3 linked regions of the Alligator mississippiensis genome follow. The protein of the gene in region 3 purifies or fractionates together with the protein of the main gene of each other region. This does not show direct contact. Links are inferred from orthologs where the notes say so. Each region holds a gene or a part of one and is shown on either strand. Other genes may lie near its edges. The genes, in order: ARMC1, IMMT and DNAJC11.

Region 1 (9,793 bases), on a different chromosome or scaffold from region 3:
TGTGCCTCAGGTAACTGGCATTTTTAGGTTACTGGCACCCCCCCATTCCCCACTCATGCCAGATAACTGGGATTTTACTGTATAAGATAATATTGCTAACACTTCCTTTGAATTCATTTTTCTGGATTCCATAACTTTTAAAGGTAGCAGCAATTCAGTTTATTTCCAACAACTACAGAAGAGCTTTGCACTCACTCTCCTGAACAACAAAAGAGAAAAGTTTGGGAAAGGTTAAGGAGACTGCAGCAGAACTTCAAAAGTGCCTTTCATTTAATGACTTTACAGTTTTCATCTGGCTTTTATCCAATTTAGAGCCCTGAGACTGCTGTTAGTCAAACCTAAAGTGTGTGTTTATTTGCTGCCTCCAGTTTTGCTTCCAAGTGTTTATAGGTAGATGTTTATGATACAGAGCTGACCAGAAACTTCTAGCAACTGCATATGTCCACACTTTCGCAGTTAAAATCTGAATCTCACAATTTATTTAATGTACTTTTGCAATCCCACTGTTATCTGTACTTTGAGTAAACAGATTAGGGGAAATATGTAAAGATCAATACTGCGCTCTACTCTGTACACCTACTGGGGTTCCAGGTTCTCTCTCATACGTACATATACGAACAATAAGCTGATAACATCCAGATACCATAGGACCTTTACACAAGTACTTGGTATGTTGCATAACTTGATAACATAGCTTGAAAGTCTGTTCATTCCTTAAGTGGGATTCTCTCTCAAGTATTTAGCCTTCAAAAGCATATTCTTTCAACCGCTTTCCTTTGCTGACAACGTTTGTCCTTCCAACACTAACATTTTTTCTTAAGTCTAATTTAGTATGAGTGAATCTCCACCAGACAGCAAAGATTGCAATTGGAATTAAAGACTTATATTAAAAACATACACTTTGCTATTGGCAGAACACTAGATTATCAACTGTATTGCTTATTGTTTGACACCAAAGAGTTTTAATTTAAATAACACCTTCACCAACATTTGATTCAAAGGAACAGATTTTTTGATCAGTTAGTCCCTTACTGATGATGATAATTTCTATCACAAATTAGATTAAAACCAAGGTATCTGAAAGCCTAAACAAATAAATAAATAAAAAGTTCCAAACACCTGGAGCTCCTATTTATTTCAGTAAGTTTCTGGCTGCTGAGTCAATTCTTTTGAAAATCAGGTGATTAAAGAGCTGGATCCAGAGCCCACTGAAGGAAAGACTTGTTAAAGGTCATAAACTTTGGATCAGTTTTCTTTTAGCAAAATACTTGAGCATGTAATTAAACACAAGTGCACAATTTATTTCACTGAAGTCAATGGAACTGTTCACGTGTGCCCTAAAAAAATACTGAAGTACATTACTGATTTAAGGCTTTTTTGACAGCCTGTATATGAATCCAGGAACCTAACTTCAAGTTCCTATTTTTCAAAGTCTTACTAAAATTTAAGAAAAGTGGTTAGGCACACTTCTGATTTTTAATGTCTTAAAGAAAAAAATCAAAACCTGATAGCTTGGCTTCTCTTTGTTCATCTGACTCTTTAAAGGGTGGAGAGAAGTAAGATGAGAAACAAAAGAGTTTGGTGAATTTGTCTATATATGGTATATGAATTCTAGTTGATTAACTTGCTATCAGCAGCGCTTCTGAAGAGATCTGGGAGCTATAACAGAACACAAACTACATATAAGCCAACAACGTCCTACTGCTGGGGACAGAAAGCAGAAAACTACATTTTTGGCATGTGTAAACAGGACTGCTGAGTGCAAGACACAGTACTGGAAAGGCTTCAGCCAAAAAGCTGAGTCCAGTTTTAGGCACAGGGTAAAACCCCCCCCTCCTGGCACAGCTCTCCCAAGACCTGCTTTGCTTTGCTGCTGCCTGGAAGTGGAGGGGAATTTCCCCCTCCCCTTACTTAAAAGGTATTGTTTAATAAGTGGTGAGCTTTACTTCCTTAAAACAGCTAAAGAATAGCCTCCATGTTGCTGTTCAGTGGTAGAGGCAGGGGAGAGTCCACTCTGAAAAGCTTGAAATTGGCTCCGATAAACTTGCAGAGAGGGCGCGTTTCCACCCACCAGAGCCTGAATTCCAGTGGCCCCTAGTTACAATGAAATATAGAGTGGGTTTGTTTAATCTTCAAACAGGAAGACTGAGAGAAAGCATAACAACAGGTTTCAATGTCAGAGATGAATGCAGCGAAGAGATCTGTAAACTGTTCTCCGTGTTCACTGGGAATGGGAGAAGTACTTTACAGAGTTTAAATTGCAGCAAGGAAAATTTCAGTTAGACACAGAGAAGTACTTTAAAACAGTCAGTTTTAAGTTAAGCACTAGAATAGAGAGACTGAGAAAAATCTGTGAAATCATAAATTTCAAGGGGACCTTAAGGGTTATCTAGTCCAGACTACACTACAGATGTAGGATTCACTCCTCCTAAATTGTCAGTCAGGTTCCTACCCAGTCTCTTCTTAAAAAATTCCAACAAAGGAGATTCCACAACTTCCCTAGACAACATTGTTACCTCATTTTTACAGTTAGGAAGCTTTATCTGATATTTAATATAAATTTGCTTTTCTGCTGCTCAAATTCCACACACCTCTCCCATACCAACCATAACAGACCTCAATCCCCTGCCATCTTGACACAAGATTGTTCACCTGCTCTCAAAATGCATCACTGAAGGCACTTAAGAGCAACTTAGAAAAAAAGTGTGCACCAGGGATAGTTTAGGGATAGCTGATCCTGCCTTGAGGCCCAGGTATGGACTAAACCTCCTGAGATCATCTGCATCCATATTTTCTATGATTCAAAATGCTTACATGACCCATCCAGAACCACAAATGCACCATCATCACAAAATGCATTCCTACATCTGTATGCAACAAGCTGAATTTTGGCTTTTCTCTTTTTAACCCAAAATTAAACGGTCATGTTCTGGGGGGGAAAAAACACAACAACTTTGCTTTATCTATAATCAGTTGTTTCTTTCTAAACTCCATGAATTATCTCCACATAGTATGTTGCTGCAAATTATCTTTTATAGCACTTATCATGAAGCAAAATACAGTAGCAAGAGTAATCTCACATAAAATTTGTTACAGCAAATATTTGTCTTTTTAAATACATAAAAAGAAAGAGATGCAAGTAACACACCATTAACACAACCCTTAGTCCCTACTGATCAAATCAGATTACTTACTAGCAAAGCTGAATGAACAACTGGAGGGTTGGGGTGGTCCAGGAACAAAATAAGGCCAGGCAGACATCCCTGATCCTGAACAATAGCTCGTCTATTTAATGGGTCAGCAGCTAGATCTCGTAACTGGTTAACTACTGCTAAAGCATCAGGCTCCTCGCTCATAGTGGAGTTCATAGTGGAGTTCATTTTTCTGTATCATACACAGAAACACCTGTTAAAAAAAAGTGCATTAATAAAAAAAATCATTGTTAACAAGTCATTGATTAAACTATAGCCAATCCAGAACAACATGCCCCAATTTGTTCTTAGAAGTGTAAACGCAAACAGAATTCTTCTTAAGGTCCCTATACACTGTTAAGACAGAAATTTTAGAATTCACACATATCGAGTTATTTGCTTAACTGATTTGTTTCCCACATATCATTTTAGGCCTGTCAAGCTTCAAGTGAAATACTGTTTATAGTATTGATACTTACAGGTGAAGAATCAGTTGTTTTGTTACAACTACACTGTCGCTTACACTGCTCTATAGAAATGTACATTTCTAAGTCTATATCCTATAAAAAGGATCATTTGTAAAGAAACACACATTATCTGATCCTGTAACACATTTTTACTGTCAACAAGAAATCTCAGGCCAAAACTTTTACCTTTCCATCAGGCATCTCCACTGTTTTATCTTATTCAGAAATTACATATCAAAATTCTATAATCCAACACCAATTCAACTGCTCCTGGTCCTCTTAAAAAGCATTGCCCAACTTGCTTCTACTAGAGTCAAGCAGAACCAACTCAGTTTCAAATGAAGACGATTAGTCTGATGCTGTTAAGCTAACAAGTTTATTTAAATAAAACTTCCCATCATAGCCAGAAACTCCTGATACCCCTCAACAGTGGGTCTAATGTGAAAAGTGAGATCAAAAGGTAAGAGCCTTTATTGTTTTGCTGAGACTGAACCCTCAGTGCAATTTATGGTCCTGATCTTCTCAGCACCAAACTCATGTATTTTTTATGCACATGAGTATGAATAAAAAGACACTGTTAATTTTACTTTTCCATTTTGATTTAAAAGGCAGCATGCTGTTCAGAGCATTTTAAAGTTAATTCTCTTGTTTTTCTGTTAAAGCTCTTAACTTTTTTTAGTAAGAAACTGATCGTGCATGTAGAGATACCAGATATAGAAAACAGACACTAACAAAGAGACAAGAGCGAGAATGGCAGAACTCTATTTTGTATCATAACTTTGTAGGTACAATTTTTCCTGTAACGTGACTGTCAGTTTGGTGGTGATTACTCAAGTCACTAATGTTTCTTTACAACACAAACAACTTAAACGTTAATTTTTCATGACAAGAAAATTAATATAGATCAAATAAGCTACAAGTTTCATGCAGTCATTACTTTGTAGTTTCAAAGCATTTTAAGCACAATTTTCAAAAATAAAACCTGAAGAAACAGGCAAACATTATGATTTCTATTCTGTAAAAGGCAAAACACCAGAAAGAGAACAATCTAGAGCAGAGACGCTCAGCCTCCAGCCCGTGGGATGAATCCAGCCCAACAAACCATGTCATCTGGCCCACAGGGCTCCACACAGGTCCAGAAATTTGGGGGCGGGGGAGCATTAGCAGTGTTAATTGTTTCCCAAGTCACTGCAATTAATGCTGCCACCACTCTCCTGCCACCAAACTTCCAGACCTGAAAGGAGTCCCACAAGCCAGATGATACTACCCCACTTGCTGGCGCATGATCCAGGGATGGATCCAAAGGAGCTGCACTGGTATGCTTGCACCTCCTTTGATTCCTGGGCCACCCAAAATTTAAAACTAACCACATAACAGCAGAGCAACATTTGCAGTCAGGCAGGGCCAAGGGAGCCAACTGATTCCACGGCTCATTATAAACTGCCCGATCCTTTCTAAACTGTTCACTCCACAGAAGTTAAAAATCCTCTTTTCCTTTTAACAGCCTTCATGCTCCACCTGCCAAACTATCCCCTGTTCTGCAAGTCTGCTGTGCCACCTACCCCTGGTGTCAAACCCCCTCTCTCACAGCCCAGCAGATTGACTTTTAGATCATCCCAATGATGTTTCATTTGTTTTTGCTTCAATCTTAAAACCTCATAACACAGCCCTGGAGCGTCACTGATGCTTCAAGCTTTTTTTTACCAGGAGAAAACCAGGGGTCGCACTCTACAGCAGAATGCACCTCGCCACAGGCACCCCCCTGCACAGAAGTCTAGGCCTGCCCACAGTGGGGTCACTCCGTGGCCAGAGCCGCCAGGGCAAGGGGTGCCCACAGGCGGCACCAGGCCATGGGAACTGACCCTAGCCCAGCCCCGCACTGCTCATCTGTCCGAAGAGGTTGACTCCCCGGCTCGAGAGCTGCCCAGAGACTTCAGTGTGGGCAGACTGGGGCCCAGCGGCGCCTGCAGCCCCTGGTGCCTTCACAACTTTACACAGACGGGGGACAGGGGTCACAGGCTGCCGGCCCGGCCCCAACACAGCGCGGCACAAACCGGAGCAGCTTCCCCGCGGGCACCACTCCCGCCCTCCCGCAGGCAGGCGAAGCCCGGGCCGGCCACGTACCGCGGCACCGAGATCTCCGCGGCTCAGCGCGGCGCGCCCATCACGCGAGGCCTGCGAGCGGGAGGCCCGGGGCGAGCAGCGGAAGGACGAGAGGGCCGGGCCCTTCGCTACATAAAACCCCCGCTGAGGCTCTCGCCAACCCCGCCACCTCCGCACCCCCCGCTCCCTGATTGGCTGAAACGAGCAGCCATTCGCATCCCGCCTTATTACGCCGCGCGCTCATTGGCCACCCCCATGTGACCTCTCTCCTGTCCCCGCCCCAGGGCGTTGTGGGTAGAGTAGGCTCTATGCTAATAACGGGGAGGAGCGAACTAGATGTCCCGGAATGCACAGCGCCGGGGGACTTGCGCGGCGGGCCATGTGGTCTCTCGGGAAACCGCGAACGGAGCGCTGCTCTCTTCCAGCTCTGGGCGGCTTGGGCTTTGCCTTTCGAGCTCTGTCCACGGCTGGGTCATTGCATGCTAGGATCTGCACTCCCTGAGCGCTTATTGGAGCACTGCATGCTGGGATCTGCAGTCTGTAGTCGTTTATTGAGCCGTTGCATGCTGGGATCTGTAGGCAGCCTTCTGGGTTTCACATCAGTACGTAACATCGCACAGGTAGGATCTTTTTTTGCTGTGGGCCCCGGTGGCTGCTGATCTGCACAGGCAAGGCTGAAAAAATGGAGAGTGAAGAGTATAGTGGGAAAAGGGAGGTTTCATCATAGCCTGCCACTACCGAGCATGCCGGAAGGATCTGACTCCTTTGCTTTGAGGTGATGAGGGCCATAAAGCTGCTTCTCCTTGGGGAAGATCTAAGTCTTGGTGTCAGTCCAGTTTCATAGGAAGCTGACAAACCCTTTTTTCAGAGGTAGGGATACACTAACAGGAGGGCACTACACTGGTCACGCACGCCCCTAGACATGTGGTAACTGCGTGGAATCTGCGTGCTTTGCAAGTGAAATGCAGAATAAGTTTAGCAGAACTTATTTTTATTTGTAAATGTGCCTGTTTTTCTTACAGTTCACTGTCAACTCAAAATGGTGATTATTTTTCAGATTAGAAATTGTATTTACTTGTTTGATCCTTTGTGTCTTTTGCATTTCTATTAGTATAAAAAAATTACCTTTTGGAGGAATTCTTCTACTTTCGGGGGGGGGGGGGTTCAGTTACAGCTGTTGCAGGTGAACTACACCCCACCTCGCCTGCCAAAAAGCAACATTTTGCATTGTATTGGAGCTTTATTATTTCTGGAAACCTGGGTTTCATAACAAAAATTGCATTATCAGCATTTAAATATAACTTCAAATTTAAACACATTCTTTAAATCCAGTGTTTTGCAAAGTTTGGAATGCGAATGCCTCTACCTTGAGAGAATGCAAGCGTCTTGTGCTGTTTACGACTCACCTATTCAGATGTAAAAGGCAAGAATTTCTGACAGCAGGGGTAGGCAACCCCCAACATCGGGGCCAGAGTGTGGCACGCAAGGGCATTTTGCTTGGCATGTGCACCTCAGGGCAGACAGTGGGGAGGGGGCTAGGGCTGCGCTGCCACAACAAGGATCGAGCCCCGTGCAGCTCCCCCACTGCCTGCCCCTGGCATACCAACATCTTACAAGTTGAGGTTGCAGGTTTTTTGCTCAAAAAACATTGCTGACCCTTGTCTTACAGTGATGCCCTCAGACAAAGAATGCTTTGCATTTGAAAGCTTGTCTAACTGTATCTCGGCAACACAGGTTGCCTAATAAAATACATTACCATAAGACATTCTTGCCTCTGGCATAATTTCTGGACCGTCACAGCTGCAACATCACTCTTAAACACTACCTATTCAAACATACGTATTGTTGTAATATTTGAGAGCGTTTAATAAGATTATACTTTCTTGTATACAAGGAGAAAGGAAATAATTAATGATATTGACAAAAAGGTGTCATCAGTGACACTTCTTTTAATAAGAGGTAGTTGGTCCAGTTAAGTTTGAAGTCAGGCAGAGGGCAGGGTAGATTTGCTCCTTATGGGTTAATTACATCAGAAATGTATAGCATAAGTTTTGGTAGTCAGAGATCTTACTTCAGAAGGAATAGCACTTGATGTAGGAAGCTCTCTGCCTATGAAAGTTTATGGTACTTACCTTTGACAGTCCAGAAGGGGTAAACTACCCTGCCTTCTCTTTCGGTTAACCCCCACTAAAGAAAATAGAATAGGCCCTTTTTGAGGAGTTCAGGCTCTGTGAAGTTCTCAGTGGGTGCACCTACCACATTTACTGTGCAGTAAATATGGTGCCATATGCTGACTTGAGCATAAATTTGATACCTGCATTATGCAGGTATACAATTTATACCCATTTAGTTACTGCGCAGTAATGCACATATAGATACCATACTACACAGTAACACTGTGTGTGTGGACTGACTTGGGGCTAACTTTAGTCCCAAGGTAATCCACACACGTGTTAATACACTTTAACACCTACATGTGTAGATGCTGGCCTATTGCTGCTTGCTGTGCAGTAAATCTAAGCTGGTATAAATGCATGTGTAGACATACCCAGTTACTCTCACCACAGCTTTTGCAAGTCTTCCCTCCAACCAGGGGACCTGGAGACTCAGCCTTTTATTTCCCAGTTTAAGGAAAGTCAGAGACTGGGCAGGGGGGCAGGGCTCCGGGCAACCCTCCCACTTCCACATCTCTGCACTTGTCTGCCTGCCTCAGCTATGGTGCCAGGCAGCCCCACCAGGGAATCTGCCCGTCACCTGCGCGTGTGCCAACAAACCCTACTGCCAAAGAGATGAAGCAATGATGTCACACTAATCACTGCTGAACTGACCAATCGGGTCTCTCCACTAGGGCTCTGGTCACGTGACAGAACCTTGGCTTGCCCGCTTCAGTGACAAGGGAGCACGGTTGGCCCCGCCCCCAGTGAGGAAGGGGAGAGCAACTCGCCCGGGGGCTGTCGGGTAAGTCGCCCGGCTCTGGCACTGGGGCGAGGGGCAGGGAGAGTTTAAGTCCCGCCTCTCTCAAGCGCGGCGCTGATTGGCCGTTGCGCTGCTGGAGCGGCTTGCACTGCGAGCCGGGTCTGGGCAGCCGGCGAGCGGAGGAGGCCCCGGCTGCACGGCGGGTGAGCTCAGGGCCCAGCGACAACTCGCACGCGGGGGGCTGCCGCGCCCTGCCCTGTCCTGTTCGGCCTCCAGCGCCTGCTGGGTCCGGGGGGGGGCGGGCGGGCGGGCTGGAGGCCGCGCCGCGTTGCGGAGCAACCCCAGCCCCAGGCTTGCGGCCCGGGCGAGCGGGAGCGGTTCTGAGGGAGCCGAGCCCAGGCTGAGAGGGCGCAGCCCGAGGTACAGGCCGCCGTGGGCCTTGGCCGGGACCCCGCCCCTTTGGTCCCCTTCAGGGCCCCGAGGCCGCGCGTGCTCGGGGCTCATGTCATTGCCTGGCAAGGTGCAGGGAAGTGTGGTGCCCCCCCTCCCCTTGAGAGGAGGCAAAGCCCAGCATCAACCCTCCCACATGGGCATCACCTCCTCTTTCTTGCCTGGCAGAGCCAGCAGTTTATTTGGGTGGACGAGATGTGGTGTCTTTTTTATCTTTTATAAAGATAAACTTTTATAAATTTTATCTTTATAAAAGATAAAACTAGCTTTTATTAAATCAAAATGTAGCTGTGTCTATGTTCTTCTACAGGTATTTCCCATGCTCCTGGGCTTTGCTGCTTGCCCCCTTCCAATTTCTGCTATACATGTCCAGGTATTTTTAAGCCTTCCCAAAGGCATCGATTGGGTGTGGGCTACAACCAAGTGTGGGTACTTTGACTGGGATGTGCCAATGCTCCTGCTGAAGCTTCCTGGCTAGAGGATCTTGCCCTTCTGCTCAGGGTCAGACGAATTGCCATATTTGGGGTCAGGGAGGAATTTTACTGTGTGGTTAGGTTGGTATGGACTGTGGGGGCATTGTCTTCCTCCGTAGCGGGTCATGTGGCCCTCTACCCGGGATCTCTTGAGCATGTATTCTTATGTCTTTTATGTAGAGTTTAGATTATG
Region 2 (9,793 bases), on a different chromosome or scaffold from region 3:
GATGTGGCTTTGCCTGAAACCTGGTGGATCAAAGCATATGAACTTTTACTATTTCTAATTTTAATTCCCATGCTACGGGAAAATTGCAAACTAACTTACTCTTCCCGAATTAGACAAAACAGAAGTGTCAATACTGCCTATGAAACACTACATACCCCGATTCTCCTGATGTTGCATATCCACGGCACAGCTGTGATGGACGGAATGAAGATCTACCACATCGGCAATTCTAAAGAAAGGCGAGAATCAAATATTGCATGCAACTTTTTTTAAAGTCTTTAATGTTCTACTTTCAACCTAATTCAAATCTCATAAAAATATATGTTCTGGGGAACATATAAAATGCATCAGTAAGAGGTGTGGAAAAAAACAAGTAACATCAAAACAAGATTTAGTTTCCCCTAATAAAAAGAGTCTACTCTAATGACGTTACAATCACTTTCAAATTAACAACAAAAAAAACTACAATTAAAAACTTTGATTTATATTACCAATAGTATAAACTATTAAAAACCAAAATGATTTGGGGTGGGGCGGGGAAGAGAATCTCCTCCATTTTTGCTGCCTGATTATATTTTGCCCTTCACTTTGGATGGTACAACTAGACTAGCTTATTTCACTTCAGGATTCTGATGCATCAACATAACTCAGCAATAACTTAAGATGCAAACAGTGACAAGGAATGTCTAAATCTTGAAGTGATTTTCATTTGCTTTTAAAGACAAAAACATTTCTATAAATGTTCAGTAACACTCTAGATTGTGGACCAAAGCTACCATCTTCTTAGAAGAGCTATACTGAAAGTCAGTCCCTTTATGAACAATTAGAGTTTTAGATTCAAATTTTAATAAGCTAGGTAATAAAGCTTGCAATGGTATTATGTCAAGTCCTCATTCCCAATACATTTCATTTGAATACGAAAACGCTAACGGGAAAGATCAGTTAAACCAGCCCAACCAAGTCATCAGAAAAAAAAACCCTCTCCGTCTTAGCAGTTCTAACAAAAGACAAAGAAATTAATATCTAATGGAAAAGTATAGGACTTGTGTGAAGCATGCAGGTCAAAGGAAAACACTTTCTCTCCCCATTTAGTTTAGACATGAGGCAAGCTTTGCATCCTAAGAAATGTAACCAAGAAAAAGAATTTCTATTTTGATGATTTATACTTTGAAATAAATTCATGGTTTAAGATATCCTTACTCTATTATGATATTAGTCCCATAATTCTTCAGACAGGTTAGGACATGAATCAGGAACACAATGCACTGATTTCTTATTCTTTCCAAAACTGCATCCAACTCCTTTTAATTAGCAACAGAAATCTATGTGCCCAGTGACAGGAAGTGCAGTTGCTTACTTGGGCAAAGCTTCTTTATAAAGAATAACTTGGCTGCAGACATAAGTGAAGTTTATGGTGTATGATGAGGCAGTCAGGAAGCACGATTTATGATTAAAGTCATCAGAAAGTAAACCCATCAGGTGTTGATCCTTTGTAAACACAATACTTGTCATTATTTCTTTTAGCAGTTACTACTTCAAGAGGCTTTTCCATTTATCACTTTATACCGGGGCGGGCAATTATTTCAGGCAGAGGGCCACTTACTGAGTTTTGGCAAGCCATCGAGGGCCACATGACAGGTAGCCAGGGGCAAATAAATATTAATTTTCTAAATTTTTTAGGGGCCACACAAGCTGCATTTTGCCCACCCCTGCTTTTACAAAGATGCCACGTGATTCAGAAAACCCCAGTCCTTCGTGTTCACTCACTTTTTTTTGACAACAGAAATAAGAATAGAGCAATTCCTCAGGAAGACCACCAAAGGTCAGAAGGTTTTTAACACTATGGATTCCTATTTGAAAATCTGTGTTTATCTTGTGAACCACGTTTGCACATCTAACAGCGCTAACATTGTGTGACACCCTTGAAAGGATCTCAATGGACCCCAGGATGCTGCGACACCTTGGCTGAGAACTGTTGGTCTACACATAACATTCACAACTTTGGCCTGTAGCACGCAGCTGGAATTCAGACATACTCACCAGGTACAGATAACAATGTGCCTACATCAACCTCCCAGTGAGTCAGATCCAGATACAAAGGAGATATAGTAATGAAATACACCTGTTTGTACATTTTCATGATAAACAGTGTTCCAGAATCTTGCACACAGGCAGAAAAGCTAGTTTCTCTCTTTTTACACAGCTTTAGAACTGCTATTACCTTGAATTGGGTTCTTTCGGCAATTCTTCCAACACTGTATTAGCAGTAGTTACAGCTCAGAGCTGACCCAGACAACTGCAGGGTAGAAATTATTGCAACCAGCCACTATCAGTGCTCCCATTGGTCGCAGTACACTGGTGGGACAACTTGACATAGTCTTAACTTGGACAAGACTTTACTGACTGCCCTTAAAAGATGCAGCAGAGGTGAAGAAAAGGTGGAAGCCAGGCAAACCTTCCCTACTAAAACAATGCTGATGTGTTTTGGTAAGCAGAGACTGCTCCTCATCTCCTTTTGAACAAAACACCTTTGCTAGGACAGGTAACAGTGGCATTGTTTCACAAAATGCTTTGTGCTCTTTTGTCCAGTTGACCAACAGTTACTACATCGAGTCTAGATTAATAATTCATAAAGTCACTAGTTAATCTCGTGTCCCACTATTTCACTGCCGTAAAATGACAGGAAATCTAAATTGACACACGATGGTCTCTCCACAGACTTCAAAAAGCTTCTTCCTGATTGTTTGTTGTCATTTCGTGAGTCAAGAACAACAAATGTTTCATTTCTGCTTACAGGAGCCAAGATACCAAAAATGACTTTTGATACAGAATTGAACTGACAGCACAGCTCCATCAATCTGCATCATTCTCTGGGGCAGAGGTGACCAACCTGCGTACCATAAATGCCATGGGGAGCCTCTGTGTGTTGGCACACAGATCAGAGGTAGGAGCAGAGCAGCAAATCAGGGAGGAGGCGGAGACTAGTGTGGTTCTTGGGGAAAATACAGGGCTTAATTTGTGGCAAGCGTACCAAAAGCAAAAAACAAACAACCCCCCCACAAAAAGCTGTTTATTTCTCAGTTATCTCTGTGAGGCAGCAATTGTCTTTATTTGCACAGCACAATGTCTAGAGCCCAAAGCATCTCCAGACCTTATCTAATATTTATATTCCAGGAAGGAGAGTGACTCAGGAAACGCTCAGGGAAGTGCTACAAATATGTCATGCGCTTCTGGCATCTGCAGTAGCCCCCCTCTGAAGTCAAGGAGGTGGAGGCCATCTCCTTTCAAACTTCATCTCTAAGAGCTACTTATTTATAAAGTAACAAAATAAATGGGAAGGCCACATGCAACCCTGAGATGATTTACACACCCACATTCCAGAATACAGCCCCATTTTTGAGCTCTACAGTTCAACCCTGACTTTCCAAAGTTGGTAAAAATTCACTCAAAAACCTCAGGACCAGAAAGGAAGGGTGTGTGTGTTTAAGACTCCTGAAACACATCCAGCAGCCTCAGAGTCATTCTATATTCCCACCTCACAGCTCAAACTTTCCACAGCTTACAAGCCTGGCCCCTTAAAGGTTGTCAGATGACTTGGCATGGAGAACGCTGCAGCCTTATACAGCAACAAAGAGCTGCTGCAGTAAAACAGCTGGCCAGCTCCGAAGCGGTTCCACATGAACTATGAAGCCATCGTGCTTCGATAGTGGTTGTTTTGCTCGTTGCTGAGCTCTGCGGTTGGAAAACCCTAATGTACACAGAAGAATGCAGCAAAACCCCAGGACAGTTCAGTTTATGCGCTTCTATAATGAAAGATGCATGACATTCAAATCAAACACTTGTCTAATCTACACAGGCTTAAGATCCCCGGACAAGTTTAAAAGACAGCTTTAAAAAGAAAAAGCACCAAGCTCCTAAAATCTCCCAATGCGAGACAAGCTCAAAGCTCCAGAAATTATTTTCAGTTGGCCAATTTTTGGAACAACAATTCTCTGTGACAGTCACAACAGCCAGGTCCCTGTCCTGACCCCACCCTGCCACTGGCAGCAGGGGTCAGGCTCCTGGAGAATTAAGTCACAGCTACTCCTCGCTTAACGTCGTAGATACATGCTTGAAAAATGCGACTTTAAGTGAAATGATGTTAAGCGAATCCAATCATGTCACAGTAGTTACCTACTAGCAGGCAGCGGCCAAACAACGTTACAACCAAACACCGCACGACTTTCAATGCGTACTTTCTGTAACAGATTACCGACATAATAATGAAACGCTGTTAACTGGGACGACGTTCAGCGAGGAGTACCTGTTCAGGAATGGAGATGGCAAGGCTAGTCACAGGACATGAGGCTATGCTTTAAAAAACTCACAGCCTCAAACAGAAGCAGCTCTCGCACATTAGGAGCTCTGCTATTTATAGGATACTTTGGTGTTTCCCAAGAGACGAGCGCCCTGGGGCCAGCAGAGGTTATGACATAAAGAGGCAGACGTCGGTGCACGCCGAGACACGGGGCCTTTTCACGGCTCCAAGGTCGTGACTGGTCCGTCTGCAGCGCTGGGAGCAGAAGCAGGAGAACGGAAGTGGCAGGAAGTCACAAGCAGGCAAGGTCATGTCCTTCCAGAGCCATGAAGGAGTCCAGCCGCTCTGGTATTTTTAGTGACCCTCGGCTCTTGTGGGGTCGGACTCTCTGCCCCCCCCGCAGTGCTTATGCCGCCTCCTGCTCCCAGATCCTGATCTCAGAGCCCCCCACCGCCAGGACTACAAGCCCCAGCATGCAGCGCGGGTGCAAAAGCGCGCGCGCGTTGCATGCTAGGGCCTGTAGTCGCTTCAGTCCTCCCATGCGCCCGGCATAGTTCGCCTCGCTGCCCGCGTCAAGCACGAGCCCAGCAGCCAATCAACGCCTGCCGACCCCCTGCCAGTCAGAAAAAGCCGAGCAGCGATTGGAGAACGCGCCGCCGCATCCCGCCCCCGGTGTCTCACAGCCACAAGCTCGATTCATTCCATGGGCCGCCGGGGGGCGGAAGGGCGGCCACCTCCCAGCGACAGGCCCGGCCCTGCCCTGCCTTGCCTCACCTGCGCGGCTACCGCGACCCCCACGCGCTGGCACGCTCGCAGCATCTCGCCGGGCGCAGGGCGCGGCGGGTGACGGACGGTGGTAGGCAACCGCCGCGAAGCCTGCGCTGTCTCCGCCCCCTCAGCGTGACCCCCAGCGCGCAGGCGCAGGCGTAGGCACCGCCCCCGGCTGCCGCCGGCGGTGAGTGGCAAGAGGAAGCGGCCAATCAGCGTTCGGAGAACGGGCAGGATGCAAATCGGGCTCCGCCCAGCATGCGTGGTTACGCATGCGCGCGAACCGCTTCGGGGTGGCCAATGAGAGCGTGGCTCAGAAGCGACAGATGCGGGAAAGCGCGGTGGGAAAACGCATGCGCACTGCTGGCGCCAAGCAGGGGCTGTGGGAGTGCAGCCTAGTGCAGTGTCAGGGCTTGTTGAGCAGGGACAGGGGCTTCCTCGCTCCCCCTGGGGCTGGGGGCATGAGGGGCTGCCTACCCCCATGGAAGTGAAAGCACCACTGCTGGCAACCAGGGTGCAATTTATGGGGGCTGAGCCCCCCTCCCCTCTCCCATAAGAGCTCTCCTGTAAGATTTGAAAATCACAGCCTGGGGGGTCTCCGATCGCATGGCTCCTTCACTTACGTGGACTTGTTAATCAATGAACCAGTGTCATTTTTTTTGTTTGCACACCTCCCCCACGAGAGCCAAAGTGTAATTTGAGCCCTGGGTATAAGGCCACGGCAGAGGGATGGTCGGCTCCAACGGGCAGGCAGCACCTCACATGTCCTTGTGCGGGTTCAGTTTGAGGCACGAGACGCTTGCGTGACGTAAATGATAACGAGGGGGCTCTGGTCTTTGCTGCAGCAGTCATTCTCACTTGGAGGATGAGGGTGCGCAGGGGGCAACGGGCATTGTCAAGGGCTTGGAAAGCAATATCACATGAGGAGGGGCTGGAGGAGCGACGCCTGTTCAGCTTGAGGAAAAGGTGTTTCAGAGGGGAGAGGATAGCAGTCTTCAAATCTTTGAAGGGCTGCCATAGAGAAGAGGGAGCACACGTTTTCTCTCGCTGCGGAGAGGAGGATGTGAACTAACAGCTTGATGTTGCAGCAAAGCAATTTTAGATTGGATGTCCAGGCGGACGTTTTCACCGCTAGACTAGCGAGGCGGTGGAATAGACTCCATCGCTGGAGGTGTTCAAGAAGAGTCTGGGCAGCCACTGGCCAGGGACGATCTAGGCATAGCGATGCCTGTGTTGAACTATGGGTATTTCCCATGCTTCTGGGCTTTGCTGATTCTTCCACCCCCTCCCTGCTGCATGTATCGAAGGAAAACTTAAAAGCACTCAGAGGTGTCGCGTGTTGGCTACAGCCAAAGCTGAGGACTTTGACTGGGGTATGCCTGTGCTCCTGCTGGGACCAAAGGACCGGAGGTTCCTGGCTAGGGGGGCTTGCCTCTGTGCTTAGGGTCAGGCTGATTGCCACATTTGGGGTCAGGAAGGAATTTTACCCTGTGGTCAGATTGGTACCGACTGTGGTGGTTTTGTGCCTTCCTCTGTAGTGGGGGCATGGCTGGAAAAAAAGTCTTTGCTATTAGAACAGGGAGGCAGTGGAATAGACTGACTGGCCAGGGATGTTGTGGACTCTCCATCACTGGAGGTGTTCGATTGGGCAGCACTGGTTGGTGGGTATTTCCCATGCATCTAGGCTTCGCTGGTTGCCCCTGCCCCTTCCTTCTCTGTTCTGCTACACATCAGTGTGTTTAAGCCTTCCTCAGACACATTGGATGTTGGCTACAGCTAAGACCAGGGTCGTTGATGCGTGTGCCAATATTCCTGCAAGGAACCAGAGGTTCCTGGCTAGGAGGCTTTGCCCATCTTGCTCAGGGCCAGACAAATCACCACATTTGAGTCTAGGAATGAATTTTACCCCATGTTCAGTTTGGGCTGGACTGTGGGGGTTTTGCCTTCCTCTATAACCAGGACGTGGCCCTCAACCCAGAATCTCTTGGTTATATACTAACAAAATTTCATAGGAACAAGATGTTGGCTGCCTTGGCTCCTCTGCTTTACCCGTGGCAGATTAGGGTGCTAGGTCTGTGTTGTGTCCGGGTTGATGGTAGTCTTATGTCAAGTTTAGATTATGGTATTTATGGAATGGTTTGGATAGGGATGATCCTGTTTCAGGCAGAGGGTTGGACTGGACTAGATGACCCCTGGAGGTCCCTTCCAGCCCAACTTCTCTCTGTTTATGATTTAAGGAAGGTGCTTCTGTGGCCGAGGTCCAGCAGACTCTGGATTCAGCAGGCATTTGTGTTTGCAGCATCTGGGTGAGAAGTGAAAAGAGGTGAGTAAAAGCACTGCCTGTCTGAGCAGGAGTGGTAGCTAGGTATTGGGGACTGGGAGAACAAACTGCTTCATAATTACAGACCTGGAGAAAATAAACCTCGTGCTCTTTTTGGCAATACTGTCATTCTTTGCAGGTTGACGATGCCCTTGAGCTGCTCCATGTTTATAACATTTAGTCGGCTTCATTTTGGGATAAACTTGCTCTTCTCTCATTTGAGCCCAAGGGCACAGAAACACCGACAAGCCTCTGTGAGGGGAAAGGAGAGTGAGGCATTCCCTTGCATCAGGTGCTGCTTGGAAACTACATGTGTGCGCTCTTAGTCCATAGTAAGTGCAAGAGAATCCACAGCAGCTGAGCCAGGCATGAAAGAGGGCTGAGCCTAAGGAAAGAGGAGACACAGGGGCAGTTACTGCAGAGCTGTTGGCATGTGATGAAACCCAACCTTAGGGTAACTTGCAGGTGTGCTCATGCCCTTTATGCAAGGACTCGATTATCTAGCTGAGTTGATCTTGAAGGCTCTTGGAGTCGATCCAAGGATGGGGTGGAGGACTGAGTGCCCCCATGCACGCATGTGCGCTCCCCACCCCAGCAGGTCAGTCTGTGGGGGAGGGAAGGGACGGGGCTAGACTGAGGTCCCCACAGCAAGGGACAGTGCCACAGAGGCAGGAGCAGGGGTAAATTGGGTGGGGCCCCGGCCGGGTGGGACTTGCCTGCTGGGGAGGCGCGGCCCTAATATGCACATGGCATATTTGTAGCATTTTCCTGCATGTTTCCTGAGTCACTTTCCTTCCTGCAGTATAAGCATTAGATAAGGTCTGGAGATGCACTGGGCTCTAGACTTTGTACTGTGCAAGTACAGACGATTGCAGCGCGCAGGGCCGGGCCAGCTGCACGCACAGGTCCCATCCTCCACGCAGCGCTGCGCCAGCCCGGCCTGCCGCTGGGTCAGCACAGGGAGCCCGGCCTGCGGCCACATCAGACCCCCAGACCGACACATGGGACTGGGCCATACTTACCTGGCAGGGGAAACGCCATGTATCTGGGTCCAAGAAGGCAGTTTTCCTTAAGCCTCCCTGGGGGTAACTTTTTCTGGCAGTGTGGTTTAGTACCCGCCAACGTGTTGAGGCTTAATACACATTTTATGGAAAAGAGAAGCTTCTCCCTAGCTTGCTCCTGCGGCCACATGGCCGAGGGCAGGCGAAACTCGGGGGCATCCACCCCCCCAGGCTCCAGGCTTGGGCCTGCACCAGGATACCCGCCAAAGAATTTGGAAATATCTGACGCCCCTGATGGGGGTGGAGGATGGTTGCCAGTTCTAGTAGAGCCACTTATGGTTCTGGAGTGACTCACGGATTTGGACTTGGTTTGGCTGGGAACAGGAACAATTTCTTTAATAAAATAAAATATGGGTTCGGTCCAGCTCCCATGGCCCGGCCCTGCAGGTCGGGGGTTTCGGAAGACAAAGGCAGGAGGGAGCGCCCGCGGGGCCGCCTTTGCATTCCCACCGCCCGGCGCTGGGGGGAGCCGCTGATCAGGGCCGTGCGCCCCGCCCCTTTGTGTGTCGCGGCCGCCGTAGCACGTGATGCCAAGATGGCGGCCGCCAGGGCGCTCCGCGGTGTGTCGGGTCAGTGCGGGGAGAGGCCGCGGGCGGAGGCGGGGGGGGCGTCCCGTCCCTCCGCGCTCGTGTCGCTCGGAGCGAAGAGAAAGGCCCGGTCCGTCCCCCTGCCCCCGCCCCGCTCTGCTCGGAGCCCCCAGACGTGTCCAGTCCCGAGCGGACGCCCCCGGGCCGCCTCCCGCCCCCCCCCCCCTCCCCGCCGCGGGGCCCGTGACAAGCCCCCAGCCCGCGCGGCTCGAGCCTCGCTGCCGTGCGAGTGGCGCAGGTACAAGCCGGGGCGGGGGCCGGTGGCAGGAAGTAATTTGGGGAAGCGGTGAGTGGAATATGTGCCCGGAAACCCCACGAAGGGGACTGAGGAAAGCCAAATATCCCGGAGCAGGGGAAATATCCGGCGCTGTTTCCCGCCCCCATTGGAGTTCAGGGAGGCTTTGCCCGCTGCTGGGTTTGTGAAAAGTGTCCGAGCCGGCACGAACAGGTCTGCAACCAAACGTCGCCGCGTACAGCAGCACGGCCCGAGAGGCGGTTTCGGCACGCCTGCCGCTGTCCTGTAATTAAATTCCTGGTGTTGTCTGCTCTTCCCACAGGGGTCTTCAGATCTCTCGTCCCTCTAATCTACAGCGGCTCCCGTGGCGTCCGTCTGGTCTCCGGACCATCCATCCGGCGGCTGGGCTACGGGCAGGCACCTGCGGTTTGCTCCGCTGCAAAAGCCCTGCCCTCTGCGGGTAACCTGCCGTGCGCCTCCCTGGTGAACAGGTACGGTCTGTTTTATAGACCAGGTTATGTGGTT
Region 3 (9,793 bases):
GTTCAAACCTTCTCGGCTTTGGCCTCCCTACTGTGGCCTTAGCCTTCTACTCTGAGCCCCTGGCCCTCATCTGGCTGCTATAGCCCTATCCTAACTTGTCTCATAGGCCTCTAACCTTAAGCCAGGCCACTTCTTCTCAGACTCTAGTTGGCCTGCTGAGCCCTTGGCCCTGGCAATGCTCTCTCTCTTCTCTAGGCCCCTAGCCCTAATCCCTCTCCAGGCTTTGGCCCTCTCAACTTAAACCTGCTCTATCATCAGTCCTCCACTCTCTGGGTCCTTGGCCGTTACATGACAGCTATGGCCCTCTCTCAGCTGTTTGGACCCCTGCTCCCCAGCTGGGCTGCTTCCGATAACCCAGACTTCTGCTCTCAGGATCCATGACCCCAAGTCAGACTGCTCCCGCTAGCCTTGGCCCTCAGAATCAGCCTGCTCCAGTCCACAGCCCTCTAGGTCCTTGACCCTTAGTACCTGTCAGGCACTCCTCCATGGCCTCCAGACCTCCCTCAATAGCCACATCCCAGACTCTGGCCTAAACTAGAAAATAAAGATAAGCACACTGACTGTAGAACAAAACTCTCACTACCCTGGGTCGATAATTCCCACCTTCAGGCTGTAAGCCCCCTTTAACCTTCTACTTGCACCTTAGGGCAGCCTGGGTGCTGGTCAGTTCCTCTCTCAGCCATCCTGTTGTGGGACTCCTCTCCCTGCTTTCTGCAGGGCCAGAATGAATCCTCTGACTACTAGTGCTGAGCTTATGTGCCCAGGAGAACTGCCCCTTCTAGGCAAGTGACACTAATTAAGAACAAGGGTTGCCCTTGGGCTCAAAGATCAGCCTGCTTGTTGTGGCACAGCTAGCTCCTACTCAGCTGCCTGCTGCAAATTTCCCATTAAGTAACAGAAGCCCCTGGCTCCCTGTTATAGTTATACTTTAGTTTACATATACAACAGCATGGTCCACCTTTTCAAGACCCTGTACATCATCCTTTTACAGCAACTAACGAAGTGAGCTTCAGCTCATGAAAGCTTGCTATACATACATACATGTATGTATTTATGTACGTGCACCTCAGTTAGCTTATAAAGTGCAAATCTACCCTGCTTTCTACTCCATAATCTAGGTTCAGCCCCTACGCTTTACTATTTGTTACTGTGTAAAGGACCCTGAAACATGACCAAAAACCAAAAGGTTTTTAAACATGTCAATAGGAAACACAGATCCAAGGTCACCAAGGAAACCGCAAGCCCCCTTTAGTAATGGGGGCCACCAATGATGTCACTGACGCCTTATAGATTCATAGATGTTAGGGTCGGAAGGGACCTCAATAGATCATCGAGTCCGACCCCCTGCATAGGCAGGAAAGAGTGCTGGGTCTAGATGACCCCAGCTAGATACTCATCTAACCTCCTCTTGAAGACCCCCAGGGTAGGGGAGAGCACCACCTCCCTTGGGAACCCGTTCCAGACCCTGGCCACTCGAACTGTGAAGACGTTCTTCCTAATGTCCAATCTAAATCTGCTCTCTGCTAGCTTGTGGCCATTATTTCTTGTAACCCCCGGGGGCGCCTTGGTGAATAAATACTCACCAATTCCCTTCTGTGCCCCCGTGATGTACTTATAGGCAGCCACAAGGTCGCCTCTCAACCTTCTCTTGCGGAGGCTGAAAAGATCCAGTTTCTCTAGTCTCTCCTCGTAAGGCTTGGTCTGCAGGCCCTTAACCATACGAGTGGCCCTTCTCTGGACCCTCTCCAGGTTATCCGCATCCCTCTTGAATTGCGGCGCCCAGAATTGCACGCAGTACTCCAACTGCGGTCTGACCAGCGCCCGATAGAGGGGAAGTATCACCTCCTTGGACCTATTCGTCATGCATCTGCTGATGCACGATAAAGGGCCATTAGCTTTTTTGATGGTTTCGTCACACTGCCGACTCATGTTCATCTTGGAGTCCACTAGGACTCCAAGATCCCTTTCCACTTCCGTGCTACCCAACAGGTCATTCCCTAGGCTGTAGGTATGCTGGACATTCTTCCTCCCTAGGTGCAGCACTTTGCATTTCTCCTTGTTGAATTGCATTCTGTTGTTTTCTGCCCACTTGTCCAACCTGTCCAGATCTGCTTGCAGCTGTTCCCTGCCCTCCGACGTGTCCACTTCTCCCCATAGCTTTGTGTCATCTGCAAACTTGGACAGAGTACATTTCACTCCCTCGTCCAAGTCACTGATGAAGACATTAAAGAGTATCGGTCCAAGGACCGAGCCCTGCGGGACCCCACTGCCCGCACCCTTCCAGGTCGAAACCGACCCATCCACCACGACTCTCTGGGTGCGACCCTCCAGCCAATTCGCCACCCACCGGACTGTGTAGTCATCCAAGTCACAGCCTCTCAACTTGTTCACCAGTATGGGGTGGGATACCGTATCGAAGGCCTTCCTGAAGTCTAAGTATATGACATCAACCCCTACTCCTGCATTCAGGCGTTTTGTAACCTGGTCATAAAAAGAAACTAGATTGGTCAGGCACAATCTGCCTGCCACGAACCCGTGCTGGTTTCCCCTCAGCATAATTTGTCCTGCCGGGCTCTCATAAATGTGAGCCTTGATAATTTTTTCAAAGACTCTGCCAAGGATGGAGGTAAGACTGACTGGCCTATAGTTGCCCGGGTCCTCCTTCCTCCCCTTCTTGAAAATGGGGACCACGTTGGCCCTTTTCCAGTCCTCCGGGACTTGGCCCGTGCGCCACGAGTGTTCAAATATTCCTGCCAGTGGCTCTGCAATGATGTCGGCCAGTGCCTTCAGCACCCTTGGACAGAGCTCATCCGGGCCTGCCGACTTAAAGGCATCCAGTTCTTCCAAATGACTCTGCACCATTTCAGGGTCTACGCATGGAAGTCTGGCGCCTTGCTGCTGCCTCTCTACAACCCCAGTGAGAGACTTGTCGTGCCCCTCACTTAGGAACACTGAGGCAAAGAACTCGTTGAGGAGTTCAGCCTTGTCCCCCCTGTCCGTCACCAATTGCTTCTGCCCATTTAGTAGAGGTCCTATTCCTCCCTGGGCCTTCCTTTTACTCCCTATATATCTAAAAAACAATTTCTTGTTGTCTTTTACTTGGGTTGCCATCCTCAGCTCCATGGCAGCTTTGGCCCATCTAACTGTCTCCCTACAAGCGCGAGCAGAGGAGGTATATTCATCTTTGGTGATCTCTCCCTGTTTCCACTTTTTATGTGCTCCCCTTTTGTCCCTTAGGCTGCCCTGGATTTCTCTGGTCAGCCAGGGAAGCCTCCTGGCCCCTTTCCCTCTTTTGCCTCGCTCGGGGATCGTCTTGCTTTGTGCCCGAAGGATCGTTTCCTTAAGGCAAAGCCACCCTTCTTGGGCTTCCATCTCTTCAAATCTCCTACTCTGCAGTGCGTCCTTGACTAAATGCCTGAGTTCACTGAAATCAGCTTTCCTAAAGTCTAGCACTTTCACCCTACTAGTTACCTTACCCACTCGCCGTCTTATGGTGAATTCTATTATCAGGTGATCACTGTCCCCCAGATGGCTACCGAACTGGAGGTCCGCTACCATGTCATCTCCCGTTGCCAATACCAGATCCAGTATGGCATTCCCCCTAGTGGGACTGTGTACCTCCTGAGTCAGGTGGAGGTCCTGTACACAGGTTAGAAACCTGCGTCAGCGGTGGGACTTTGCCGTCTGTGATTCCCAGCAGATGTCCGGGTAGTTTAGGTCCCCCATGACTACCGCCTCTTTAGCTTTTATGGTCTCCGAGATTTGCCTCAGGAGCCCTGAATCTCTTTCTTCCCCTTGATGTGGGGGTCTGTAGCAGACCCCTACCACCAAATCCCTTTCTCCTTGCCCCCCATGTAGCCTAACCCACAATCCTTCTATCCTTGGGACAACTAATGACGAAAATGGGGTCAGGAGTAGAGGTCAAAGGTTAATAACTAGCATGCCAAGGGAGAGGAGCCAGGAAACAACAGGAGCAGTTGACCATGTCAGGGCCCTGTGAAATGCCATGACTAGCAATGCTCTTATGCCATCTCTACATGTCACCAAGCAGAACAGTCACCAAACTGCACCTCCAAAATGCAAATCCTCTTTCTCCTTTTGTCCTTCAATTCCCAGATTACCTTGTCCGCATCAAATCGATAGGCATTACCTCCCTTTGGACTTGAAAAGGAAATAAATGCTAATGCTCACTGACAGTTGGCCATTTTGCAGGGAATTTCTATTTTTTAAAAAGGCCTCAGTAAGTCTACTATCTAAAATAAATAGAAAATACCACACATTCCATTAAATGAGGTATCCACACAACTCCCATAGGAAAGAGCGTTTTGGGAAAGAGGCTTTGATCTGTAAGTGAGATCCCCGCAGGCATTGCACTTTCATGCAAGCCAAGGAATGCGTGTTCCCTTCTTAATTCTCTGCTAACCAACCCCTGCCTCCGCGCACACGTTGCCCTGGAGCGTCACGGGCACTTTCAGCTTGGTCTCATTTCCAGATGCCCCCACGTCGTTGTACTTGTCCATGAGAGGCCTGGGATCCGCGGCACCGCACGGCCGCGCCCAAACCCAGCCCCAGCTTCACCTCCCGAGAGGGCAGCGGCGAAGGCTCGGTGCGGGACGCAGCACCACGGAGCGCGGGCCGAGGAGAGCCGACCCGGGCTGGCCGGGCCCCCGCTCCGCCCGCTCCCTCCCGAGCCGGGCCCGCTGCCGGGGGTGGCCGTGGCCCCACAGGGGCACCTCCCGGGCCCTGCCCCTGCCCCTGCCCCACGCGGGTCCCGCGTGCCGGGGGCGGCAAGGCGCGGCAGCCCCCCGGGGGAGCGCGGAGGCGAGAGGGGACGGGACGGGACGAGCCGTGGCCGCGCCTCACCTCCCGCCGCACGTTCAGCAGCGAGTAGTAGTCCTCGTTGTCGGGCGCCTCCTCGCCCAAGGCCGCCGCCATCTTCCCGACCTCTCACCCCGGGCCGAGCAGGAGCGACGCGGGACCGAGCGGGCCACGGCCGAGCCGCCGCCACAGCGCCCCCGGCGGCTCGGGGGAGGCGAGGTGAGCAGGGCGCAGGCGCGCCTGGAGGCCCGGCCCGGGTGCAGGCGAGAGCGGCGGACGCGGCGCGAGGCCTCTCCGGGCTGGTCCCTCGCGGGTGCCGCCGCCACCGCCGCCGCAACCGGGACAGTGCTTGTCACGGCCGCTTCCGCCTTGCTGCGAGCGGGCGCCGCGTCTCCGCCTCCGGCCGGGCCCGGGCTCGGGGGCTGCCCCGCCGCTGCAGGCCTCGCCCGCGGCTGCCTCCCGCCCTGCGCAGCCGAGTTCCCCACCGCCGAGCCCCGCTCCGCGCCCCGCCGCGCGGCTGCGGCTGCGGAGTCCCGTGGTTTCCGCAGCGTCCAAGGCAGATCTTTCCCGGGCTGGTTTGTAGGGCTTTGGCGCAATCGACGTGCTTACAAGAGCACACGTAATGGCCCCGAAATAAGACTCGTGGCCAGATGTGAGGGTGCAGTGTGATGATGACTATCACTCGCATTGGGTCTGACTACTACCGATACTGCAAATCAGCTTCCACATAAGGGGTTTAGGAAAGGTGCCAGGGCAGTTTGGTGTCCACGTTCCCTCCTCCTGTCAGCCAAGGAAGCGCGATGACGGTCTGTTGCTCATTCTGCTTCCTTCATAGCAGAGTCCCAAGCTTGCCTGTCATGGGCCGTATCCTCCGAGGATATTAATTCCAGCCTGACAGACTGTATATGCCGCTTAAGGCAGTCCTTGTAGCAGAGCTTGGGATGGCCAACCTTGCTAACTGCCTTTGTCAGATTCACCGTACAGAACTCTCTTAGGCAGTCGATTGTTGTCCATATGTATGACGTGCCCGACCCAGGTCATTTGCCTCTGTGCTAGCATGGCTTCCACGCTTGGCATGGCTGCCAGCCATAGTACTTCGTTGTTGGTGATTTTGTCAGACCGTTTAATTCCCATTATGCTGCGTAGATGGCCCTATTGCAAGCAGTTAAGTTTTTCGATACAGTCACAATAAAAGGGACAGTTCTCTAAGAAGTATAGGAGACAAGGGAGCAAAACAGCAATGTAAACTTGGCATTTTGTAGACGCTTTGACCCCCCCATCTTGTCCATTGTCTTTTTTGTCAGCAACCGAAAGCTGAGGCAGCTGACTTTAAGCGTGCTGAAAGTTCCTTGTCAATACTGGTATCATCAGTAACTCTGCTACCTAGGAAGCAAAAGGACTTGATGTTGTTTAATTGGCTGCTGTTCAGTTTTATTTTTGGTAGTGATGGAGGTGATAGGTCTATGCCAGGAGATGGTTGGTACAGGACTCTGGTTTTCTTCACGCTAATGGATGCCAAAAAGGGATGCAGCATGGGCAGAGGAATTCAGTAAAAGTTACAGATCATTCTCAGAAAGGGTGACAAATGTTAAGTCATCGGCATACAGTATATCCTACTTTACTTTGTTGGGATTTGCATTTAGCCTTGAATCGGCAGAGGTTTAGAAGTCTGCCATCAAATTGTGTTCTTAGGGTGATACCAGTAGTGATAGTATGTGCAACAACTTCTAGCGCTCCAGCCAAGAACAGAGTAAGTAATGCAGGGGCAAGCACACAGCCCTGTTTGACCCTATGGGCTACAGGAAAGGCAGCAGATGAGTCAGCACCCACTGATACATGGGCCTGCATGTTGTCATGGAAGTAGCATATGAGGTTTATTAGTTTGTCTGGGCAGCCGAACTTTGCAAGAAAGCACCAGAGAGCAGAGCGTTCAACAGAGTCAAATGCCATACTAAAGTTGACAAATGCAATGTACAGGGGCATTTGTTGTTTGGCAACTTTCTACTGTAACTGGCATAGAGTAACTATGTTGGCAGTGCTGCGTGATGAATGAAAACCACACTGGGATTCAGGGAGTACATCAGCGATGGAGAGGAGCAAAATGCCATGATAATTGCCACATTCATGTCTGTCTCCTTTGCACTTGCTTGTAGATTGTTATGATTTTGGTATCTCTGAAATCCTGGGACAAAGCCTCATTTTCCCAGTAAAAAGTAAATGGGTCTAGCAAAGCTTTGTGAGATGTAGGACTACCGTATTTAAAGACTTCACCTGGGATTTCATCAGCTCCAGCTGCCTTTCCATTTGCCATTTCCATAAGTGCATTCTTAGTCTCCTCCAGAGTTGGTGGATCTTCAAGTTCATATTGAACTGGTCTTTGCTTAGTTGGGTCTGTTTGATCATTTGCACTTGACTCGTGATGATTGAAGAGGATCGCAAAATGTTCTTTCCATCTTTCTAATATACTGTGCTCAGTCAGCAGGGTGGTGCCATGAGGGCCAGGATTGGACAGGTATTAGCTCTTCAAGGTCCATAAATGCACTTTAACTCCTGAAAAAAACCACAGGTTTTATTAGTATTAGCAGGAGCTTGTAGTTCTGTTGCTTTGTTTATTCACCAAGTGTCCTCCATCTTCCACAGCTCTTTTTGCACTGCAGATTTTGATTTCTTGAAGGCTTCTATAGCCACAAGAGAGATTGGGGGGGGGGACTGTTCAGTTTAACTCTGTTCATGGCTTCATGGGTCACAAGGAGTGCTTGAATATTGTCATTTGCATCAAAATAGTCCACATTTTGTCGAGTTAGGACACCAAAGACTTTTTTAGCTGCTGATTGCACTGCAGTTTGAAAGGCACCCCACCTTTCATCAACAGTTCTGCTTGCTCTTGCATTGGCACAGTTTGATAGTGTGGCATGCGTGGAAGTTGTTAACTGGGATCTCCCCTCTTCCATGCAAAGTTTTGAAACATCAACACGTTGGTTCAGGTTTGGAGTAACCTTCTGCCTAGGAGTGTGAATCCTGATGTTCAATTGAGTATGAATAAGCTGGTGATCCATACAGCATTCTGCACCTTGCATAGCCCTGGTAATGTAAACATCCCTCAAGTCATTGCAACAAATGATGACGTAGTCTAGAAGGTGCCATCATTTTGACAGAGGGTGCTGCCAAGAATAGAACCACTTTTCTGGCATATTGAAAAAGGTATTTGGAACAGCAAGGTCAAACTCTGTGCAAGGTGTTAGGTGTAATTCTCTGTTTGTGTTTAAAGACCCACATCCGAATTTCCCCATGACTCTGTTCCGAGTGGTGTTGTCATTTCCAATGTGTGCATTAAAATTGCCGAGTAGTAGGATTTTATCATTGTTGGGTATGTTTTGTTTAGAGTGTCACTCAGCTGGTTGTAGAACTGAGTCTTCATTTCTTCGGCAGCAAGTAGTGTTAGGGGGTAGGCACTTATTACTGCCAGAAAGTCATTGTGGGACAGTAGTATCTGCAGTGTCATTAGGCACTCAGATATTAACACAGGCTGCTGTGGTAGTTTATTAGCAATGGAGTTTGCTATTGCAAGTCCTACCCATTGTAGGTTGGTGTTTTGGTCTGCCTTGTAACCTGACCAGTAGAAAGTGTATTTTTTTTCTCTAAGCACGCTGTCAGGTAGTCTAGTCTCAGATAAGGCAGCGATATTTGTTTGACACCTGTGTAGCTCTTTCACTACTAATGCAGTTCTTCTGCAAGCTCAATTTTCCTTTGAGTCAAGTAGTGTACAAACATTCCAGCATCCAATTGTCAGTTTCTGTCCATTTTTGTTATGTTTCTCCCACTTAAAAAGAAGATCCTGCTGATCCTGGGAAACTAGCCAGAAGTTGGTGAGAGGCGAACCTTTTTTATCTCAACTTTTATAGGGGCCTCCCTAAATAGCACTGCCTGGTCGCCTGAGTAAGACCTCATGTTCCCATTGCCAAGCAAGAGTCATGCAACCGTCACACCTAGGCTGCTCATGTGGAAATTGTTGGCTACCGGCTTCCAGCTTCTCAGACCTGTCAGCACAATCTACGAAACTCTCGCCATGAGTCTTTTGGTGAAGGGTTAGTGGATGATGATGGTGAAGTACTGGGAGGAAGGAAACTTGGTACTAGTAAATTATCCACGCAAAATAGTTTAATGTGCAGCCTCTGGTGTGGAATAGCAGGATGCACGCTCTGGGACGCCGCAACCTTTACCCAGCAGAGACGAGGTTCGATAGCTGGAGAGTGCTGCATCTGCCCTGCTCTGCCTGCTAACTCAGCTATGTGGCTCCTGTCATTGTCCAAAAAGGATGCACTGCCAGGCACCTGGAGCTTAGTGCCTGTTGATCCATATTAAGATTCTCCTGTCCATTTGAGCCCTAACCATTCACTTTGCAGCCAATGAAAGGTGTGCATTTAGATTCACCAATCCCAGAACCAGATACTGGATGTTTAGCCCAGATGAAGACCTATAGAAAAGGCAGGTGAGTCCAGGATGAGGCTCTAGGCACGGTTATCACTATTCCACTAGTGTGAGGGTACATTTAGCTGATTATACACAGGGTGTGCCCAAGGAGGTGCCTTCAATACAGGCACTACTCCCTTGCACTAGAGGTCTTAGTAGCACTCCCAAGAGCAGGGGTGGGCAAAATATTGACCAAGGGCTGGATCCAAGCCATCAAGGGATTTTATCTGGCCTCCAGTGGGTCCCTTGGCCACACCCGGTCCAGGCATGGTGAGGGTGAGGACAGCCCGGGCTGTGGGCTATCTAGCTGGTCCTTGCACTCAGCAGGGCTGGGACAGCACAGCAGCCAGACTCCACTTCCCAGCAGCCCAGCGGTAGCAACTCCTTCCAGATGCCACTGCCAATGTTGCTGCCCAGGCATCCGGGGCCATCTGCCATGTACCCACTATCAGGGTTGCCAGAAGAACCAGATGGCAGGTGGGATCTCCATAGAGACCTGCCTGGG

Evidence for each region.
Region 1: the proteins of DNAJC11 (region 3) and ARMC1 purify together in Homo sapiens (affinity purification with mass spectrometry; 4 studies listed by BioGRID and IntAct, counting the BioPlex papers as one, with this or other methods). This does not show direct contact. The link is inferred for Alligator mississippiensis from reciprocal best matches to the Homo sapiens genes DNAJC11 and ARMC1.
Region 2: the proteins of DNAJC11 (region 3) and IMMT purify together in Homo sapiens (co-immunoprecipitation; 3 studies listed by BioGRID and IntAct, with this or other methods). This does not show direct contact. The link is inferred for Alligator mississippiensis from reciprocal best matches to the Homo sapiens genes DNAJC11 and IMMT.

What each region holds. Positions count from the first base shown.
Region 1 is NC_081826.1:64,688,323-64,698,115, reverse strand, and holds the start of ARMC1 (armadillo repeat-containing protein 1), read right to left. Parts: upstream 5,941-9,793; 5' UTR 5,783-5,940; intron 3,406-5,782; 5' UTR 3,381-3,405; coding exon 3,195-3,380; intron 1-3,194.
Region 2 is NC_081825.1:14,761,156-14,770,948, reverse strand, and holds the start of IMMT (MICOS complex subunit MIC60), read right to left. Parts: upstream 5,206-9,793; 5' UTR 5,117-5,205; coding exon 5,072-5,116; intron 230-5,071; coding exon 156-229; intron 1-155. Other genes in the region: MRPL35 (large ribosomal subunit protein bL35m), read left to right, coding at 8,982-9,015, 9,591-9,759. UniProt on the Homo sapiens protein: Component of the MICOS complex, a large protein complex of the mitochondrial inner membrane that plays crucial roles in the maintenance of crista junctions, inner membrane architecture, and formation of contact sites to the outer membrane.
Region 3 is NC_081836.1:18,707,797-18,717,589, forward strand, and holds the start of DNAJC11 (dnaJ homolog subfamily C member 11), read right to left. Parts: upstream 4,972-9,793; 5' UTR 4,936-4,971; coding exon 4,864-4,935; intron 1-4,863.